2 linked regions of the Arabidopsis thaliana genome follow. The protein of the gene in region 1 interacts with the protein of each later gene in a pairwise test. Each region holds a gene or a part of one and is shown in the gene's direction. Other genes may lie near its edges. The genes, in order: AGL99 and AGL52.

What was found.
Region 2: the proteins of AGL99 (region 1) and AGL52 interact in a two-hybrid assay, tested with the Arabidopsis thaliana proteins (one large-scale study listed by BioGRID).

The regions. Positions count from the first base shown.
Region 1 is NC_003076.8:1,330,934-1,335,682, forward strand, and holds AGL99 (AGAMOUS-like 99), read left to right. Parts: upstream 1-1,825; 5' UTR 1,826-1,891; coding exon 1,892-2,860; 3' UTR 2,861-2,989; downstream 2,990-4,749. Other genes in the region: CYP77A9 (cytochrome P450, family 77, subfamily A, polypeptide 9), read left to right, coding at 1-1,174.
Region 2 is NC_003075.7:6,840,965-6,857,290, forward strand, and holds AGL52 (AGAMOUS-like 52), read left to right. Parts: upstream 1-8,613; coding exon 8,614-9,603; downstream 9,604-16,326. Other genes in the region: AT4G11230 (Riboflavin synthase-like superfamily protein), read right to left, coding at 29-107, 193-321, 413-622, 705-864, 938-1,105, 1,235-1,350, 1,455-1,550, 1,638-2,024 and 5 more; TOPP7 (Calcineurin-like metallo-phosphoesterase superfamily protein), read left to right, coding at 6,369-6,546, 7,019-7,578, 7,755-7,967, 8,051-8,068; SGT1B (phosphatase-like protein), read right to left, coding at 10,551-10,658, 10,761-10,865, 10,952-11,031, 11,157-11,295, 11,375-11,440, 11,559-11,655, 11,734-11,860, 11,969-12,093 and 2 more; AT4G11270 (Transducin/WD40 repeat-like superfamily protein), read left to right, coding at 13,497-16,181, 16,270-16,326.

The DNA.
Region 1 (4,749 bases):
TTCTAGCGATATCACCGTTCATTCCGCTATGTACGGTCCCGTGTGGCGATCACTGAGACGGAACATGGTTCAAAACATGCTCTGCTCTAACCGGTTAAAGGAATTTGGTTCAATTAGAAAATCCGCCATTGATAAGCTCGTGGAGAAGATCAAATCTGAAGCTAAGGAAAACGACGGGCTCGTCTGGGTTCTAAGAAACGCTAGATTCGCTGCTTTTTGTATCTTGTTAGATATGTGTTTCGGAGTTAAAATGGAAGAAGAATCGATTGAGAAGATGGATCAGATGATGACGGAGATTTTAACCGCCGTTGATCCACGAATTCACGACTATCTTCCGATTCTAACTCCGTTTTACTTCAAGGAGAGGAAAAATTCTCTGGAACTTCGCCGGAAACTTGTCCAATTCGTCGTTGGATTCATCGAGAAACGACGATTAGCGATTCGAAATCTCGGCTCCGATAAAACGGCGTCGTCTTTCGCGTATCTTGATACTTTATTCGATCTCAGAGTTGATGGTCGTGAAACGTCACCGTCAGATGAAGATCTCGTGACGCTGTGTTCAGAGTTTCTCAACGCCGGTACGGATACGACGGGGACGGCGATAGAGTGGGGAATCGCGGAGCTGATATCGAATCCGAAGATTCAATCTCGGCTGTACGATGAGATTAAATCAACGGTGGGAGATGATCGAACGGTTGAGGAGAAAGATTTGAATAAAATGGTCTTTTTACAAGCTTTTGTTAAGGAGCTTCTCCGGAGACATCCACCGACGTATTTCACGTTAACTCACGGCGTTACGGAGCCGACTAATCTCGCGGGTTACGATATTCCCGTCGGGGCTAATGTTGAGTTTTATCTTCCCGGTATAAGTGAAGACCCGAAGATATGGTCTAAACCGGAGAAATTTGATCCGGACCGGTTTATAACAGGTGGAGAAGACGCCGATTTAACCGGAGTCGCCGGAGTTAAAATGATGCCGTTCGGAATTGGCCGTCGGATTTGTCCGGGGCTTGGAATGGCGGTCGTACACGTGGAGCTAATGCTGTCGAGGATGGTTCAAGAGTTTGAGTGGAGCTCGTACCCGCCGGAGAGCCAAGTGGATTTCACCGGCAAATTGGTGTTCGCGGTGGTGATGAAGAATCCGTTGAGAGCGAGGGTTAAAGCTAGGGTTTAAGTTTCGTTGATTCCACGTCTTTGATTCTTTTAACTTGACCAAACCCGGTTCAAGAGAGAAAATTCGCATTTTGTCTAATTTGCTTTGGTTTAATTAAATGTTTTCCTACTCTTCAATTACTAAATAGAGCCATGCATATTCGATTTACGTTTGTTTTAGTTGGTTTGCATTATTGCATGTCTTCAAATTAAGCTAGTATAAACTAATAATTTAGATGGTTTGACTAAACCAAATAACTGTTTATTACTGAACCAAATTTTCGATTAAATCACTCTTTCAGAAAAGGAAATTTCTTTGACAAAGGAAAAGGAAACATATACTTATTGGATTAATTAGTGATTAGTAGATTATCACGAAAAGGAAATAGAATCGATGGTTTAACTGAACCAGCCATGGTTAGTTTCAGGTGCTTTTCGAGTTAAGTTTTCAAAAAAGGAAATCGATTGTACTTAGTTTGGTTCGTCTCAGGCGGTTTAAGAGTCATTACTTTCAAAAAAGGAAAATAATTATACTTAGTTCGTTTAATCACTGATTAGCTAATTGTCAGAAAAAGGAAATATAGTCGATTGATTAGAAACGAGTAACAACACAGAGTCTATATATACACGATTAGAAACAGAGAGTAGCCATATCATATTCTTTCGCAACAGGCTAACACAAAAATCTCTCTGTCTTTTTCTCCTTCTCTTTCTTTGTCTGTGAAATCGTGAACACAGAATGGGGGGCGTGAAGAGAAAGATTTCTATAGAGCTGATAGAGAAGAAAGATTCAAGAGCTGTTGCTTTCTCAAAACGCAGTAGGGGTCTATATAGCAAAGCCTCTGATCTTTGTCTTCTCTCCGATGCACAAATTGCGATCATAGCCACTCCGGTCTCTTCCAAATCAAACGTTTCTTTCTACACCTTTGGCCATTCCTCTGTTGATAACGTTGTAGCCGCTTTCCTCACGAATCAGCGTCCTCGGGAAGGTCTAGGGTTAGACTATTGGTGGGAAGATGAGAGGCTTTCAAAATCAGAGGACCTGGAGGAACTGAGAGACGCAATGGACTCGATGTCGAAGATGTTGAAAGATCTGAAGGATTTGCAGAATCAACGAGATTGTGAGGAGGACGTGAAGAAGAAGGGTGTTTTACACGGAACTCATCAAAAGCAAACCTTTAATCCTGAATCATGTTCTGTGAATTTCGATGGGTTTAACAAGAACACTGAAGAATTTGATCTTGATGAAATATTTGATTATGTGTCAACAGCTGAAGCTCTATCGATGAACTTGGACATGGACGATGTCTCTGTGGTGACCACGAATCAAAACCCCGTCTCTGCTTCTGAAACTGTTGAAGATAGAGAATTGGTTGTTCACAAAAATATGGATGAGGACAATATCCACGTGTCTGATATGGACGACAAGGATACGATGCTAATGATTTCTGACAAGAACAATGTTTTACCTGAAAACTTGGATGAATTCGATCAAGAGCTAGATCTTGATCAGCTACTTGATTTTGAGACAAACTATGAAAGCCTTTTGAAGAGTTGTGAGATGGAGGATTATGCCTCGATGGTGACTACAAAGCAAAATCTGTGCTCAAATCCTGAAGCTGTTGAAGATGGAGGATTAATGATTCAAAAAGATTTACCGGAGGATAATCTCTGCTTTTCTGATTATTTCAGTGACTTACATTGCTGATATTTGAAACTCCCTCCAAGATAACAGATGTTTCAAGGATTGCTTCGGTTTATTTTCGTTAGAGATACTTTACTCAAGGAAGGTTCCGGTTTGACTTCAATCAATTTTCCATGCTTCATTGGATTTCTGGGATGTTGATCTAACTCAAACCGGTTCAGTTTTGGTTTGCCTTAACTAATGAAGAAACCATCCTTTTTTCTTTTAAGTTTTGTAGTCTTTTCTATCAACTTGTCTTGTTTTATATGTGTGATGTTTTCTTCTTATATTAAAAGTTTAAAACCAATGAGTCTTACTACTCTTTTTTTCTTGTATCAACTTGTGTCTTGTTTAACTGTGGGATGTTTTCTAATCTAACCAACAAATAATATTAAAACCAATATTGAGTCTTACAACAGAAAACATCTGTCTGACAATCTTTGATTAGGAATGTCTCTGCTTTCTTATTAAGTACCAAAACCAGTCATCATCTAGGCCAGTATTTTGTGATTACTTCATAACTTGAAAACAGATAAAGCTTTACCAAAATAGAGCAGAATGGCTCCATAACAAATTGCAGAAGAACCGGTGCTAATTGATTCCATTCAAAACGTGATGCAGAGAAGTGTTTATATGGCGGGGAAAGTTTGGGAAAAAACACCTTGTAATTGGTTCAAATGCAATGTAGGGGGAGCTTGGGTGTTAAGAAATGAGTTGGGTGGTTTTACTTCACAGTCGCCGGGCGATATTTAGTATAAGAAGTGTAGAGGATGCAAAGCTAAGAGTTTTGCTTTGGTCTATTGAAAGCATGTCAAGTCACAAAGTCATGAGAGTTTTTTTTTGCTTGCCAAGAAAAAGGATTGGTAGAAGCAGTTAATAGGCCGCAGGCTTGGCCCCTCTTTTAAAGCTCAATCTTTTGCTTTAAAGAGTTTTTTGTTTAGTTCCAGGTGTGGAAGATGATGGTTTTGGAAACTTTTGGTGCAAACAGGGGAGCAAATCTTATTGCTAAAAGTGTGACAGGAGATCTGAGACTGCAGTCGTATGTGGCAATGGGTCCTCCAAGCTGCCTGGTAAGAGTTTTTGAGGAAGAAAGGACTTGCATCTCTGTTTGTTAATGCAGTTTCGTTTCATGGGCTAAAGTTCTTTTTGTGAACTGATATTTGCAGTCCGTTGTTGAGTTTGTTTAGTGTAGGGAGTTTGTTTTGTCTCCTGTAGTTTAGACCCTCACTTTTTTGTAGCTATATGGCTTTATCAGTGTATAAAAGCCAGATGATGAGAAAAAGAAAAAAAAATTGCAGAAGAACCCTTAATTTATGACATATATAATACCACTCATGAAGAACAGTTGAAATTTCTGACAAGTAAATTGAATTCCAACCAAGTCAAACACGTTTATTCGAGTTTCTTTTTTGTTTTTTCTCAAAGTATAATAAGATGTTGAATTCTGATTAGCTGAAAGATGACACGATTTTATTCATTGTTTTTGGGTCTACCAAAATTGGAAAGTGAGTAAATAAATGGCTTTCTGCGACATTTGGCTTTCCCATGTTACTAATTTATTAAAGGAACAGTTGAACGCAATAAATAAAAACAAAGACATGCACTGATCACACAATTCCTAGACTCCCAAATTATCATTCTAACAGGTAAATTTCACGGTGATATGTTAAATATGTAGCCTGTAGGTCCAAATACAACAACTACTTTTTTTGTTTTTTTTCTATTTTCATTATACATCCTTATTGTTATCTAATTAGTAATTATCAGCATTAAAGATCTGGGACACTCCTGTTTAAAGCTTTCATCGACTATTTGCCTATTAGTTGTAACAATCAGCCTATGGTTATAGGTGAATCTAGACTCATATAATCAATTCTGACTTAAACCTTGTTTGAAAGTAAAGAGTGTTTCTA
Region 2 (16,326 bases), on another chromosome or scaffold:
TCAGTGAACTGATGTTTCTGTGTGTTACCAATTCTTGCGTTCCTATGTTTGGTGCTAATCTTTGATAAAACTTTCTTCCATTTTGGCCTCCCAAAATGTGTCCTTACCTAAAATAACCAAAAGTTGTTATACAAGATCAGAAAAGAGTGTTGTTTGTGATAAAGTAATCAACTAATCATTAAAGATCATTACCTTGGTTCCTGAAAAAATGTCGACGCCATTTTTGGCATGGTTTAACGTTTGGATCATAGTGAGAAGATTGGATCGAGTATCTCCTTCTTCGTAGACGCTAGTCAAGTAGTTGTGCATCTCAATAACACCCTTGTAGTTGTTCACAAGACAAATACGTCAGTGAGTAACTTGAAATCATACAATCTTTTGAATTTAAAATGAATAAGTGTATTGTTTTTACCTTTCTATCTGAATCAGCAATCTCGTTCATGATTTCTTTGAACCAATCGAACGAGCCTTGTTCTCGTGTTACCCAGTAAAAGTAAGCATTCTTGGTATTCAGCGTCTTCCGTTGAGTTTGCGGAATCCGACTCGCAGCTTCTGAGTTTAAGCAACTGAAACTGTGATCCGACGAGATGTTGCTGTTACTACAACTACCTGAGATGCATTCCTGAGAATATAACATAACTCCAAAAAAGTTTAGTTGAGATTCTGTTACTCATCAACAAGGTTTTTAAGCTTGTTATACTCACAGCTTGTTCCTGTTGCTTAATAATGTTATTGAGTAGATCTCTCAAAATGCTAACGAAAGGTGTTGCGCCGATTCCAAGGCCAACCAGTAATACCACATCATACTTCCAATGGTCTTGCGCTGGAGCGCCATAAGGTCCATCTATCAACAGCTCTGGAAAACTATATTACAAGAGAGAGTATCAAAATTCACATTCTGAGAATAATATATTGAATTTTAAAGAATTTTATGCACCTTCTTTGGTTTGGTACATCTGCTCTGAGAAGTCCGCTTTTTCCAGCTTCAGGGGCATGACATACCACTGAGAATGCCTTCTTAATCCCTTCTGTCCAATCACCGCGCTGACGAATGTGAATGCTGAGATAATCATCTCCAGGGGAAGAAGTAATAGAAAATGGATGCCTGGAGATGGAGTTTAGGACCGAGAATCTTTAAGTTAGTCTTTGTGGTGTCAAAGAACAGAGTTTGTATATGTTCTAGGATTGCAAGGAAAGCTATTAGGCTTGTTTTGGTTCCCTATAAAACACTCACCACTCAAATTTTGATACTGATGGACACTGAACAAATACATATTGTCCACTCTTGTAATCAAATGATGTAGGCTTAGACATGCGTAGCACAACAACGTTTCCGGGATAAATTACAACCTGAAACCAAATCATTTGAGTTGGTATAGAGATAATAGTAGATGATTGACAATGTGTCTTTTCATGTAATTCAGTTCAAAATGTAACTGTAAGTGAGATTTTACCTTACAGATTTCGACTGTGTAAAGCCTGGAACGGAAAAATCTAAAGATCCTCTCACCAACATAGAGTAAAACTGGTACAGCAAGATACATCCATACCTGTAGGATGCAGTATATGTTATTGTTACCACAGCCAATTATGTAAGCATGCAAAAAGTAAAATGGTAAAGAGTTTATGGAATGTACCGTTTTGCGGTACCATTTATGCTCGAGATAGAGGGAAACACCGTGGATGACTAAAAGGACGTAAACAGTTAGAAGTAAGTGATGTGAATACCAGAAGGCATTATATCCGGTTAGTTTGTCAAATGGCTTCGGCAACTTAGTTAAGTTCCGCCTGCATCTTCTACTGGCTAATGTGAATGCAATTAACATAAAAGCAACCATTATAATTCCAGTGATTCCCACAGGAGTATTCACCAAACCAAAGTATGTGGGTCTGGTCACACCAAAGTACTTAACCAAGTATCTTTTGTAATCTGTATCAGTAGATGCTAGAATCCTTGGGAAGTCACAGGCGAGGTGGCTGGTTGCATGAAGAAGCATTGCACTAATGATTGCTACAGAGATCGTCTGCGTTTAAGCAAAAACCGGAAAGTCGGATTCAGCTGAAGCATAGTATCTTTCTTATGAAAGGCAAGACAAAAAATGGTTTATGATTAACCTTGTGAAAATTAATGCAGTCATCGAAAGGCACTGAGTGGGACAAAGCGGTGGATCTGAGATAGGTGATGGTATTTCTACAGACCGGCAAAAGAATAAGAGCCATGTTGAATTTCAGTGTCTCAGCTGCGCCTTTTGCCATGACAAGGCAGTAACCCATTACATGGAATGCGTCTTTGTGTTTGTACTGATAGCATTTCCACATAAATAACCAGGCCATGATCACAAACCACAATGTCAAAACCCAAATCCTCTTCCAATTATCTTGCAAAGAGTAAAGCAAGTTTCTGCTCATTCTCCATCTTCTATCCTTTAGGTTCTGGCTTAAGGCTCGGCTCGTCTGGCTGAACGGTAGGCTGTAACTATGAGATATGTCCTTCTCTAGTAGCAGTATCTCTAGGTCCTTTAACTGCATCATTTCAAATCCATAACAAAGACAACATATTAGAATGTTGACAGAGTTCTACTACCTATCTTGTCTCAGTCTCAAGCAAGTGGGCAGTCTCTCAAACAATATTTGTTACTAATCACAGTAAGATTATCTAAATTCTTAATCATACACTTAAACGCCACTACACCACTAGAGATTATTTTTGATAACAATATTTGTTCAAGCTCTATATGTGGACCTCTACATTTTTGTCTTCGTCAACCTTTTATTATATTAATTCCATACAAAAACAAACTTGCATAGCACATAACTTTAAGCTCATTGGTTTTGACTCAGTCAAATGTCCCTATCAGAGAACTTGAAAGGTAAGAGAGCTCAACGTCATCACTTACTAAGGTCAAACTTAACAAAGAACCCTTCTACTCTCTCTCTCATAGAAAGAGACTGATCTACACACTATCAAAAGTTTTACGGTATTTAAACATGTTTTCTGTTAGGACATTTAACAAGATTGGGAGTTAAAAGTGATGGAACCACCTCTATGTACTGAGAATAGAGTCCATCTGGTGCAAGTTCTTCCATGATCAGTGCGGCATATTCCTCTGCTCGTTCTCGCAACCTCGATAGATTATTTGCCGATGCACTTAGTATAATAATCTATAGGTTGTCAAAATCATAGAAAACCATACAAAAAGTAGTTAATACCATTGAGAAGCTTCTATTTGAAAGATTCAACGTTAAACTTAGTGGTTATATAGAAAAACAATATCTTTTCATTGGTAGTTAGAATCACTTCCTTAAATTAAGAAAGCTGCTACAAGGTCAATCAAATTATATGCAGAAAAAACAATTGCAACTTAAATCTCCTAGTCTTGCATTGGTTACAAGGTAGACATAAGAAAGAATAATATCAAGACCAACATAACCAACCAAAAAAAAAAAACATGTAGCTCTATAAAATTAAGCAAGAGGGATAATACAATACTAAAACATATAAAGATAATGGGACTCATGTAAGATTCATTAGTCAATGCTGATTAGAATACTAAACAAAGAAGATCGAACAAAAGTAAAAAAAAAAAAAAAAACCTCTTTTACTTCATTCTCTGTGATTCTACCATCTCCATTTTTAACCCTGCAAGTTTCAAAAAGTGAAAAAACAAATCAAGAACTTTAGCTACATGTTGATCAATATGTTTAACAAGATTTGATGATAATTGATAACAATACATGTTGAAGAAGATTTGAAGACGAGAATCGAAGCTTTCGTCTGTAATTTGGTACCAAAACTCGTATAATTCTTGAAGATTGATCTTATCAACCATTATTCTTCTTCTCCTACACAATGCGTCGAACAACTCGTCTGCAAACTCTTTGGAATTTTCATTCTCCAAACCTTTCAAACACAGAACAACAAAATTTACAATCTCTATCGATTCTCCAGAGTCAAACTCAATTTCAAAACTGTGAAAATCATTATGTCGAACCTATGCAATGAGCAAAATCACTTTTGAAAAGATAACCATCTTTAGAAAGATGAGCGAAATTGTTTTGAACATCGTTCCAATCAACGATTCCATTTTCTTTGCTGCTTATGAATTTCAAACCATGAATCGCTCTCTCTGTACCCGATCCATCCCGATTAGGTCTAGTTGGTCGCTGAGATAAAGCTCGAGGGAGATTAACCGAATCGGTAATTTCGCCTCTGTGTGGAACCACCGGTTCCGGTGCAGACCGAGACGAATAACCGTAACCACGCCGTGAGATCTTCTGGATCTGCTGCTTTGAGTTCGTCCCCGCCGTCAGTCTCTCCGACGACGCGCTCCATCCTAAGCTAAGCGACCTTGATCCTGAACCGGAATCCGAGCAAGAGGTGATCTCTAGATCGGTACCTGAAATATCGGTGCCGGTTCCGGTAACGGAGTCGATGTTTATTATTACGCCGCTTGGGAATTCGATTGTTACTTCTAGGAGCTCTTCGCCGGAGGAGGAGGAGGAGGAGGGTGAGGGTGAGTATGTTGCTGGTAAGGATGGAAAGCTTTGGGTGAATTCTCCGGCGGAAGCTAAATCGGAGCCCCAACGATCGTTGTGAGTCCCGCCGGAAAATGACATTGACATTTTGAATTTGTTGGGAGGAGAGGAGAGAAGCCAAGGAGGGAGAAGACTGAATAAATACAGTTTTTGAATTTTGTGTTTATTATAAAATTTGTCTTTTGTACTAATCAAAGGAACGACCAGAGGAAATTACCAAAGCAGAACGAAAATATAAAAATAAGTTTGGTTTCTAAAAATACGGTTTTAAATTATACTATATTTACGAGTTACGACACAAAAAATTATACTATATTTTTGTGCATGTTTTAGGTACACTTTAATTATACTTAACTCGCTGTTGTTGTGAAATTATATATTTTTTTAAAAAAATTTAATTTGTTTAGCATATTAAAAATATATATGATTTAATGTTTTGAATTTTTATATATTAATTAATGTATAATTATTATATTTGATTTTTATTCTTTAAAATATAAAAACAATAAAATACAATTCATTTGGTTAAAATCTATATCACAACTAAATAATTTGAATTTGAATTGTATTTGTTTTGTTTAGTGTTTAAAACTAGAGGTATCAAAATGTCTCAACTCAACTCAATCCATGAACCCTAATGAGTTGAAAATTTTGACTCAAATGAGTTAATGGGTCAAATGAGTTGATGAGTTAATTGGTTTGATGAGTAAAATGAGTTGGGTTGTAATGGTTAATGGTTTCAATGGTTTACCCAATTAACACATCAAGTTTTGTAAAATTGAATTAAACTAATTAAAATCTCTAAACCAATGTCAATTTAAGTTTAACCAACACATCTAAACCAATTTAATAAATCATTATTTTTCCAAATTTCTTAAATATATAAGCGATAAAATTGAGAAAAAGTAAACTCGTAAATTTTTTTTTAAAAAACATAAACCCGTGATTTTTCCGCCAAAAATAAAAACATGTGATTAAAACTAATAACCGAAACAAAGTTTGGAAGATAAACCGACAATAAGTCGGAGATAGATACGAACGAAGACGAAAAGCTAAAACATAAAACGAAATCTAAAGCCCGATGTTAATCGGATTAGCAAAAGATAGTAACAAGATTCAAAGTTTTTTATCTCTAAAAGATTTGAGAGAATTAAGAGAGAAAAAAACTTATATGACACAAATACATTTAAGATTGTATTTTGGTGAGCAATTTAAACCAAAATAACATAATTCTCATAATACATTCAACACATACATTAAGGAGGGTCAACATTATCGAATCGAGATCCACCCAAATTAATTTTATAACCTAACCGGTATAGTAATTTGCCTTGTATATAAAGTTTTTGGAACCAACCCATTTAACTAAATTCACAAAATATAATAATTTAAATTTAAGTATATTAAAACTATAATATGAATTAAAATTAGTTAGTTATCTTTATTTTTATTATAAGTTTTTGTCCAAAACCGATCCTAACCTAAATTGAACCAAATGAAACCACATAACTGGATGCAGACTAATCAACAACAATCGCACGTGCGTCTGAGAACTTGTCACGTGACCACTCCGCTCCTTTCTTTGGCTTCGAGTTTTGGATGATGAAAAATAATTATTACCGCGTTTATTATAAAAGTTTCTAGGGTTTACGAAATTTGGGTCTCTCTCCCTCTCTCTACTTAACGCTCTCTGTATCTTCTTCTCCGTCAACGATACGAACCCAGAGACGTCGGCGGTTAAAACAATCGTCGGATCTCTCTGGATTCGTTAGACGAGAAGTTTCCGGTATCTAATTTCTGTGCGTTAGAGAGAAATTAGGGTTGTTGCTACGATGGATGAGACTTTACTTGACGATATAATACGACGGCTTTTGGCGACGAATAATGGAAGGACGGTGAAGCAAGCACAGATTACTGAGACGGAGATACGTCAGCTATGTTTAGCTTCAAAAGAGGTTTTTCTCAGTCAGCCTAATCTCCTCGAGCTCGAGGCTCCTATCAAGATTTGCGGTAATGTTACTGAATAGAGAAATGTTTCTCTCTGTTTACTTTATCTTGAATTCGTTTTTGTGTTGTGGGTTTTTGATCAATTTTACATTTTTTGATGTAAGGGTTTAGCTTTGTAAGTTTGTTGTTTGGGAAGCTTAAAGCTTAGATTTTTGGGATATAAGTGTACATTGAAATGGTTGAAGATGTGTATGTTGTGAATTAGTTAAATGCTCTGCCACTTTAAGTTAGTGTTTCTTGCGGAATTGTGAGTAGTGACCTCTTACTTTTGTGTCTTTGAGGAACCATGGTCCCTTAGCTCTGTTGCATAAGCAGTTGTTGGTATCTCGCTTGACTTATTACTTCATTTGATAGCTAATAGTTTTGTTTAGTTGCTGAATTTGGTGTATGATAGATATTAAACCCTTCTGTTGCTATCATAACTGTATGATTTGTAATTTTGTTGATGGTTTTAAGTTTATATGTTGATGAGCAGGAGATGTTCATGGTCAGTTTCCAGACCTCTTGCGGTTGTTTGAGTATGGTGGTTATCCACCAGCTGCGAACTACTTGTTTCTTGGGGATTATGTTGATCGTGGTAAGCAGAGCATAGAGACGATATGCCTTCTTCTTGCCTATAAGGTCAAATACAAGTTCAACTTCTTTCTTCTCAGAGGCAATCACGAATGTGCTTCAATCAACCGTGTATATGGATTCTACGATGAATGCAAAAGAAGATATAATGTTCGCTTATGGAAAACATTCACCGAGTGCTTCAACTGTCTGCCTGTTTCTGCTCTCATTGATGATAAGATCCTCTGCATGCATGGTGGACTATCGCCTGATATTAAGAGCTTAGATGACATCAGGAGAATTCCTCGTCCTATTGACGTTCCTGATCAGGGCATTCTTTGTGATTTGTTGTGGGCTGATCCTGACAGAGAGATTCAAGGCTGGGGGGAGAATGACAGAGGTGTCTCTTATACATTTGGGGCTGACAAAGTAGCTGAGTTCCTTCAAACTCATGACCTTGATCTTATATGCCGAGCTCATCAGGTAAAGCTAAAATTTATTCCTTGAGTTCTCTCTTTTGATTTCTCTGGATTGGTTTGTTCTTCTCTGTGACTGTTCTCTGAATTCAGAGGGTTAAGAAATCATAACTCAGTTGTTAATGCAAGGATCTGTAGTTTTTTCACCAAGCCAAGTTTTACTTAACTATACTGTTCCTGCAGGTTGTAGAAGATGGATACGAGTTCTTTGCAAAGAGACAACTAGTGACAATATTCTCTGCACCCAATTACTGTGGCGAGTTTGACAATGCTGGTGCATTGATGAGTGTTGATGATAGCTTAACATGTTCATTCCAAATCCTTAAGGCATCTGAGAAGAAAGGAAGATTTGGATTCAACAACAATGTTCCTAGACCAGGAACCCCACCTCATAAGGTGTGAAAATACTATCCCCCTGTATATAGATGCAATGTAGGTAGATGTTAGATATCAGGTTTGATATGTTAACATTCTTGCAGGGTGGAAAAGGTCGTTAACTCGTCGTCGATGGGTTCAAGAAACGAGTGAAACCGACGGGTTCGAATTTTGTAAGGCAAACAGTTTGTTTTGTTAGATTGTTATCTGTTTTCTTATGGTTGAGGCAACATTATGTTTTGTTTAGATTTTTTTTGTAAAAATTGTGGAAGATGTTCACAGCATTTTCAACTGAAGAAAGTTGGGTTTTATACAACTAACCTTTTAGAAACATATTCTAAAAACATAAACGTAAAATTTATAAAAATAATAAAATGAAACTTGAAAAACAATTATCTTATTTGACGTAATATATACTATAAGCTAAATAATAAGAGAAGAGGTAACCTAGATTTGAGGATAGATACTGCTTTTATCTTCTTCACGCGTCGCCGACGCGTATGCTTGTTCCCGTAGGCACCAAGGCAATCTATATAAACATATTGAGTGAAGTTTCACAATCTTTCACCATCAATTCCACAATTCTGCTTCTTCTTTGTGTGTTATCTCTCTGTCGGAGAAAAAAAAAACCCTAGTTTCTTGCTTGGCGAATCAAGGCAAAATCACGATGAAGCAAGCTTCTTCTTCTTCGTCATGTAATCCAACAAGTTTAACAAACAGACTTAAAACAATCTTTAAGAAAGCAGAAGAGCTTTCGATTCTCTGTGCTATTGACGTTTGCGTCATCTATTACGGACCAGACGGTGATCTGAGAACATGGCCTAAGGATAGAGAGACAGTGAAAAATATGGCTTTGAGGTATAAAGAGGACAGAAAACGCAAGAAGTGCCTCAATCTTCATGAGTTCCTCGAGAAAGAGAAGGTGAAGGACAAAGACAAGTATAAGGGGAAGACGAATTATGTGAAGAACCCTAATTGGTATCCAAACTTTGATCATTACTCTCCTCAACAACTCTCTCAATTGATTCAGTCCTTAGAACGAACACTTTCTACTCTCCAAAAAAGGCTTCGTATTGTTGAGTCGCAGAAAAAACAGAACACAAACTTGGTGCATCAGAGTTTAACACCATCGTATCTGAACCAGACACAACACTTGGATCCTAGCAAGTTCTCGCTGTATATGTACAACCATGGAGATGCTACTCTCTCACAACTCCCACTGTCTGCTTCACAATCCAATCAACTCATCAATTACCAGATGCAGCATGGTTTTGGTCAGAACATGTGTTTGGACAACATCACCAACAACAACAACTTTCAACATCCTGGCGTGTCAAACACACAAGACTACTCACCGTTACTTTCGGCGAATAACTACGGGTTGAATAATCACTTGATGCAGCAACAGGATCAGCTTCATGGTTTTGATCAGAACTTGTGTATGATGAGTGAAATCATCAATAACAACAACGGTTTACAACATCCTAATCTCTCAAACACTGTTCCACATGAATTCCCTTATGGTAACACTAGCTTCTCTCAAGATATGTTTTCGAGCTATGATGGGAGCAGTTTGCTACAGACATCTTCTCTGCCACCTCTCCACAACATTCCTAACAGCTATTGTTTTTCTGACAACTCAAGACTTCTCTGCTAACAAATCTGTCCAAAAGGATTTGTTTTTTGAAGCTTCATTAAGAGTCAGTCAATACTTATAAGTAGGAAGCTGATCAGAGAGAGATTGAAGCTGTTTTTGCTTCTGAATTCTTCCTGCTACTGTCTTTTTTTATTTTACAGTGTTGTTATAACTGTAAAACAGATCCATTTGTGGAGATTTTGTTTTTACTTTTAAGTTGGTATTTCAGTTAGTATTATATATATATATATATATATATATATGAACTTCCATAAAAGTCTTTCACAAAAACTTGCATGAAACAAATTATAATCTAAAATCACTTATGGTGACAAGACTGTTTCAATTGGTTGATACAACCTGCAAAGTGAAATCCTTTACTCTTGCATCTTATAACAAACTTGTAACTTAGTATCCTTCTTGTCTGAATCAGCTAATATATACATGAAGATGGAAAGTAGCTCTGATTTCGTGAAGACAAATTCTCTGCACCCAATTACTGTGGCGAGTTTGACAATGCTGGTGCATTGATGAGTGTTGATGATAGCTTAACATGTTCATTTCAAATCCTTAAGGCATTTGAGAAGAAAGAAAGATTTGGATTCAACAACAGTGTTCCTAGACCAGGAACCCCAAAGGTGAAAATACTGTCTCACTATATAGATGCACATCGGTTTTAACTAAAGAAAGTTGGGCTTATACAACTAACCTTTTAGACCACAATGCAATTATGTCAAGAAATATTTAGATAAGCCTCTCGATAAAAGAACAAAGTTCCAAAACAACAGACTTGCGAGTTTTAGTTTTCTAATACAAAATCAAAGTATCAGAACGTTCTTTGAGACCACAACGCAAGAATGGAGAGAGACAAATTCGAGCAGAAACCAAAAAAGAAAAACACCTTAAAAGTTCAAAAGATTTGTCAGACTTTTTTTTAACAAAAACCAGAAAAGGGGATTTTAAGAAGATCAATACTCCCACTTCTTGAGCTCCATGCCATCTGGTGGAGTGCTCTCCACTTTCTTAGTCCCAACTTCTTTCCAGTTTGTCGACAGTACCGTCCCATTCGACTCTGCCTGTCAAACCCAAAAACCACCCGAGAGGAAAATCTCATTAGTCGAAGAACAAAGCAGAGTTATTAAACCAAAATTTTAAAGACCAAAGATAGATTTGCTCACAAATGATTTGTTCATTGCCCGCCTCATGTCTTCATCTGCACTCGAGTATATGTCGCTGAAAAATTTGTTCATAGCTGCATCTCCATCAAGCTTCTCATCCTTCTCCTGCGAAATTCAAAAGTGATAAGCAGAAAGAACAAAGTACAGCAAAGCCTCTAGTGTTAAGGATGAGAAGTTAGCGTTTGTGGAACCTGTTTCTTCACTTCAGCTTCCAACTTGTCCCAGTCTTTTGCTGGCTTAGAAGATGGGTACACTGGTCTCTGCGACAGCGCTGCATATGCACATAAAATCAAATGAGAAGAGAGAGAGACCACTTTGGGTTCAGTTTGTTTAAGGTTTTACGATTGTGGTTCAGAATAAAATAGTAAACGTAAGCTGGTATCTTCTGAGACAAACCTGATGAGACATTGGGTTTGGGCAAAACACTTTGCCCTTTACCATATTCAAGGGAGGCCCAGGTGATTATCTCTGCTTTCGCAAGACGGATCTCAACTTTGGTCGACAATACTTCAAATCTGCACTTCTCTGGTATTATCTGAAAAACACCCATGAAGAAGGATTTAGTAAAAGTGTGTGTGAAAACACCGTAATTACATATGTCAAATAAAATATACCTTCCCGAACAATCTCGGCTGGAGATGATAAGCTTCCTCTCCAGCAACATCAATGACAACACTCAGCTGCACCAAAATAAAGCCAAGATAGACATCTCAAATCAATACAGTGTTAAATTACAAAGAGAGATAGTTTCTGAAGTTCAGATAAAAGTCATGAATTCTCTGATTGAAGGATACTCACAATCTGCTCACCAAACTCGACAGTTACGTTCTCCTTAGGTACTTTTTTGGCGAAAATTGTCACCACCGCTTCTTCTGGTTTCTGGTAGAACTCGTGCCTGTTGAGCAATAAAGTTATGAGTATAAAATGATTCTGGAAATTAAAGAAGAATTTACATGTTAGATAACCAGACTACCTGAACATCGGTTTGGCAGGTGCTGCAGGAATTGGAACAGGAGGAGCATCAGCTTCCGTTGCTAGTGGTGTTGTAGAGCTTGAAGGCAAACTCGGTGGCATCGGCTGAACCAAATCTTTCTCTTCTTCTGAACAGAGATACAAAGACTATATCAAAATTATAGCCCTAGGCGCAGACAAATACCCAAAATCGTTTAGTAACTAATTTCTTAAGCTATGGAGTTGATGTAACATACCTGCAATACGAAGATCGCATTCATCTATCATCTTCTTAAACTTTGGTTCATTCGGTGCAACAGAAGCTCCCTTTTCCAGGGCTGCTTTAGCAGTACTATATTCTTCTAGCTTCATACAAGCAGTGCTGCGAACACAGTAGCAAAGAATCAGAAGATAGAATTATAATTCCAATCAAATTTGAACATAACATCAAATCATTCACTACAGAGAGATGGTGAAAATATCATACCCCTTTCTGAGATAGGCTTTTGCCAACGTTGGCTCCAACTCAATGGCTTTGTTCGCATCTACAACAGCTTCTGCTCATAGAAACCACAAAAAGATAAAATATCAAATCAAATCATCAAACAACAACAATTCAATCAAAGTACAGTAACTACAATTACAATTACTCAAATAAGTTTTCTTATCCGAATCAACAACCTCACAAAAGAAACCCTAAAACTAAAACTAAACCAAACCAATAACAAAAATCAAAACTTTGTTCCACTATCAACAGATCGAATTAAAGTAACGACAAAAGAACAAGACCCAGAACCCCAAAAGCGTCAACGAAGCAATACATCTAATAAAGTTTCAATCTTTAACGATGATATTAACGGTAAGGAAGAGAGTTATATTTATACCAGTGAAGTTATCGATTTTGATGTTGGCCTGAGCACGATCGGCGAAGAAGGCGGCGCAATTGGGATCCAAGTCAATGGCTTTGGAGTATAAGTCAACAGCAACATCGAAGTCATCATCTAGAAAAGCTTCTTTAGCTTTCTCTGCTAATTCCTTGGCCATTGATTCTTATCAGAGGATTTGAGAGAACACAAACAAGTCAGAGAGAGAGAGAGATTATAGAGAAAGAGACCGATTCTATTCCTCTAGGCTTTTTTTTTTTTTGCTGTGTTTGGGATTTTTTTTTTCTTTTAAGAACGTTTTAATACCTCTACTAGGTCATATAACCAAAAACAAAAAGGTAATTAGATTTTATTTTATTTTCTAATTTCCTTTTGATTTTATTTTTTAACATAAGATTGATTCTTGATAAGTCCAGATTTTTTAACAAATAAATTAGTTGACAAAAGAATAATACTGAAAAAAGGAAAGAAAACTAATGGTAAAGATATTTATAGAGAACTACAATAATTTAAAATAATCATTTTCTACTCATTTTGTTTATATCGTAATCGTTTACTCATAGTTTAGCAAATACAATGTGATTTGTGAATTTAGACTATGATATATTTTAACAAGTTATAATTTATATATTGACTAGATTAGGACCCGTCGTCCAATACACAGATTTAAGTATTTTAAGTTGATAATAATCTAGTAAAGTTAAAATATCAATTATCAAACTTTTGCCAAATATTTACCTTAAAAAATTTATTTGCAACCTCGAAAAATCCATCTAAATATGTACAGATATATTTGTCGTGATTACTGTTACGACGTCGTTTACCAGTTCGTTCTTCCTTCTTCTCTCACCCCGACTCGTTCACTGACTCGGTCGATGCTTGTACCGCTTGATTCAAGCCGATGAAGTGCCGATCTGTGGCCTGCCTATGGTCTCGTGCTCCTCCGTCTCATCGGGTCACCGCCACAGCCTCTCTAACCAATCCACCGACTCTCTATACCGGTGGATCCGATGGGTCAATCATCTGGTGGAGCATCTCTTCTTCTTCCGAATCCAATTCTGTAACTCGTCTCCCTCATCATGAGATTAAACCGATTGCTATGTTGTGTGGCCATACTTCACCAATAGTGGATCTTGCTATTTGTGATCCTACAATACTTTCAAGTAATGGAGTTGTTGCATCAGATAATGGTAATGCGGATCCATTTGTTAACTGTTGTGCATTGATCAGTGCTTGTACTGATGGTGTCTTGTGTGTATGGAGTAGAAGTAGTGGTCAGTGTAGGAAACGAAGAAAATTACCTCCTTGGGTTGGAAGTCCATCGATTTTGTCTACTTTGCCATCAGAGCCTAGATATGTATGTGTTGGTTGTTCTTATATCGATGTTGATGGGGCTGAGACTTTAGCAGATACTGATTTTCAGAAGTCGAGATGCACGGTGGTTGTTGTTGATACTTACACTCTTACTATTGTTCATACAGTTTTCCATGGGAATTTATCTATTGGTTGTTTGAATTTTATGGGCGTGGTTCAGTTAGATGAGCAGGAATCATTGCTTATGGCTGATTCGTTTGGTAGGTTGCAGTTGGTCTCAGTGTCAGAGAAATCTGAACCGAGCAAAGGCTCTCTAGTGTCTAGAAACTGGTTGAGTGAAGGGGAAATTGCTGTATCAGTAATAACTCGAGGGGATCTTGTTGCGTTTTTCTCGAAGAGTAGGTGTGTCTTTTGGTTGTTGAATCGCGAGGAGGCAATAGGAGAGATATCTTTTGTTGATGATTCGCATTCTTCAAATTTTCTGTTCAAAGAAGCAATGATACTTTACTCTAGTACATCAACTATTGAAGGTGATAAAGATGATAGTATTTCTGAAACTTTTGTGCTGTGGGATGGTAGTGGTTCTGCTGTGCTGTTTACTATGTCATATATAGATGGTGAATTTACATATAAAAACTTCGGTGAGATTGTTACTGCCCCTGATGATAAGCGTTCCGTGAAATCAACGTTTTGTTTTGTTCAGTTGAGGCAGAATCTTCTTCGCGTTGAGTCTAGTTGTTGTGATGTTGAACAACCTTCTCAGTGGAGGCCCCATATAACGATCTGGTCATTGTGCCTAGGAAATGGTAAAGAAAAAGAACTTCAGCGCAAAGTGCTTGGAGAAAGCTCCTATTTTGCTGATTGGATTTCAAGCTCCTGTTTAGATCCCAAGGGCTCGGTTAGTGCAGAAACTGGTACTTCGCAGTCAGGAAGTCAGTGCAGTGCCAAAAATGATCTACAAAGCTTTGTTAGTGACAATGGACAGTGTGTGTCATCGTCCATGGTTATTTCTGAGAATATGTATGTCCCATATGCTGTTGTCTATGGTTTCTTTAGTGGTGAGATAGAGATTGCAAAGTTTGATTTTCTTCATGGAATTGATTCTCCTGCTTCAAGCCCGAGATCAGATACTGATCCACTCGTCTATAAACAGCGTCTATTGGGACATACAGGATCTGTTCTATGCTTAGCAGCGCATCGAATGTTTGGGGATGCAAATGGATGTAATTCTTCTCATGTTTTGATCTCCGGAAGTATGGACTGTACCATCCGCATTTGGGATCTCGAAAGCGGAAATGTTATCATGATCATGCATCATCATGTTGCTCCAGTGCGCCAGATCATTCTATCCCCAGCTCCAACAAAACGCCCATGGAGCAAGTGCTTTCTATCTGTTGGGGATGATTCATGTGTTGCTCTTTCTTCTCTTGAGACTTTGCGGGTCGAAAGGATGTTTCCTGGGCACCCAAACTATCCTACAAAAGTTGTATGGGATGGTACAAGAGGCTACATTGCATGTCTTTTTCGCTCCCTTTCGAGAAAATCAGATCCAATTGATGTCTTATACATTTGGGATGTGAAAACAGGTGCTCGAGAACGTGTACTCCATGGGGCAGCTTCACATTCAATGTTTGATCATTTCTGTGCAGGCATTAGTGAGAAATCTCATTCTGGTACTGTCTTAAATGGAAATACATCAGTTTCCTCTTTGCTTTTCCCAGTAGACGAAGAGAGGAAACCATTTTATTTGAAGAACTACGAGCGAGCAGCCTCTTTGTCAACATCTAAGCCAAGTTCTTCGCAGGAAAAGACTAGAGAAGAGAGTTCTACTGCTTCGTCTTTTCTCCAAAGCATCAGATACCCTTCCATCAAATGCACTTGCCCATTCCCTGGAATATCTACTCTGATTTTCGATCTTTCGTCTTTAGCAGTTTATTGTCAAACACATGAAGACTCTGATATGCATAAGATGCTAGAAGAGAAGAGTGATAAGGCAACTGCTCAGCAGAAGACTTCAAAAGACAAGTCTCCTGTCCAGAAGACTCTAGATAACCATGCAGAAGTTGTTCACATGGACAAGGCTATTGGAGAATATCTAATTCGATTTAGTTTATCCTTTCTGCATTTGTGGGGTATAGATTTTGAACTCGATCAAATGCTAGTAGCACATCTAAAGCTAAAAAGACCAGAGAGTTTTATTGTAACCTCCGGTTTGCAGGGAGACAAAGGATCATTGACATTAGCATTCCCTGGTTTGAATGCAACACTTGAGGTAATATTTGACGACCTATATTGATGTCACAACCGCACACATTATCAACAATATCCTTCTTTATCTGAGATTTCATAAAACATTCCAGCTCTGGAAATCATCTTCGGAGTTTACTGCGTTGAGGTCAGTGATTATGGTGTCACTT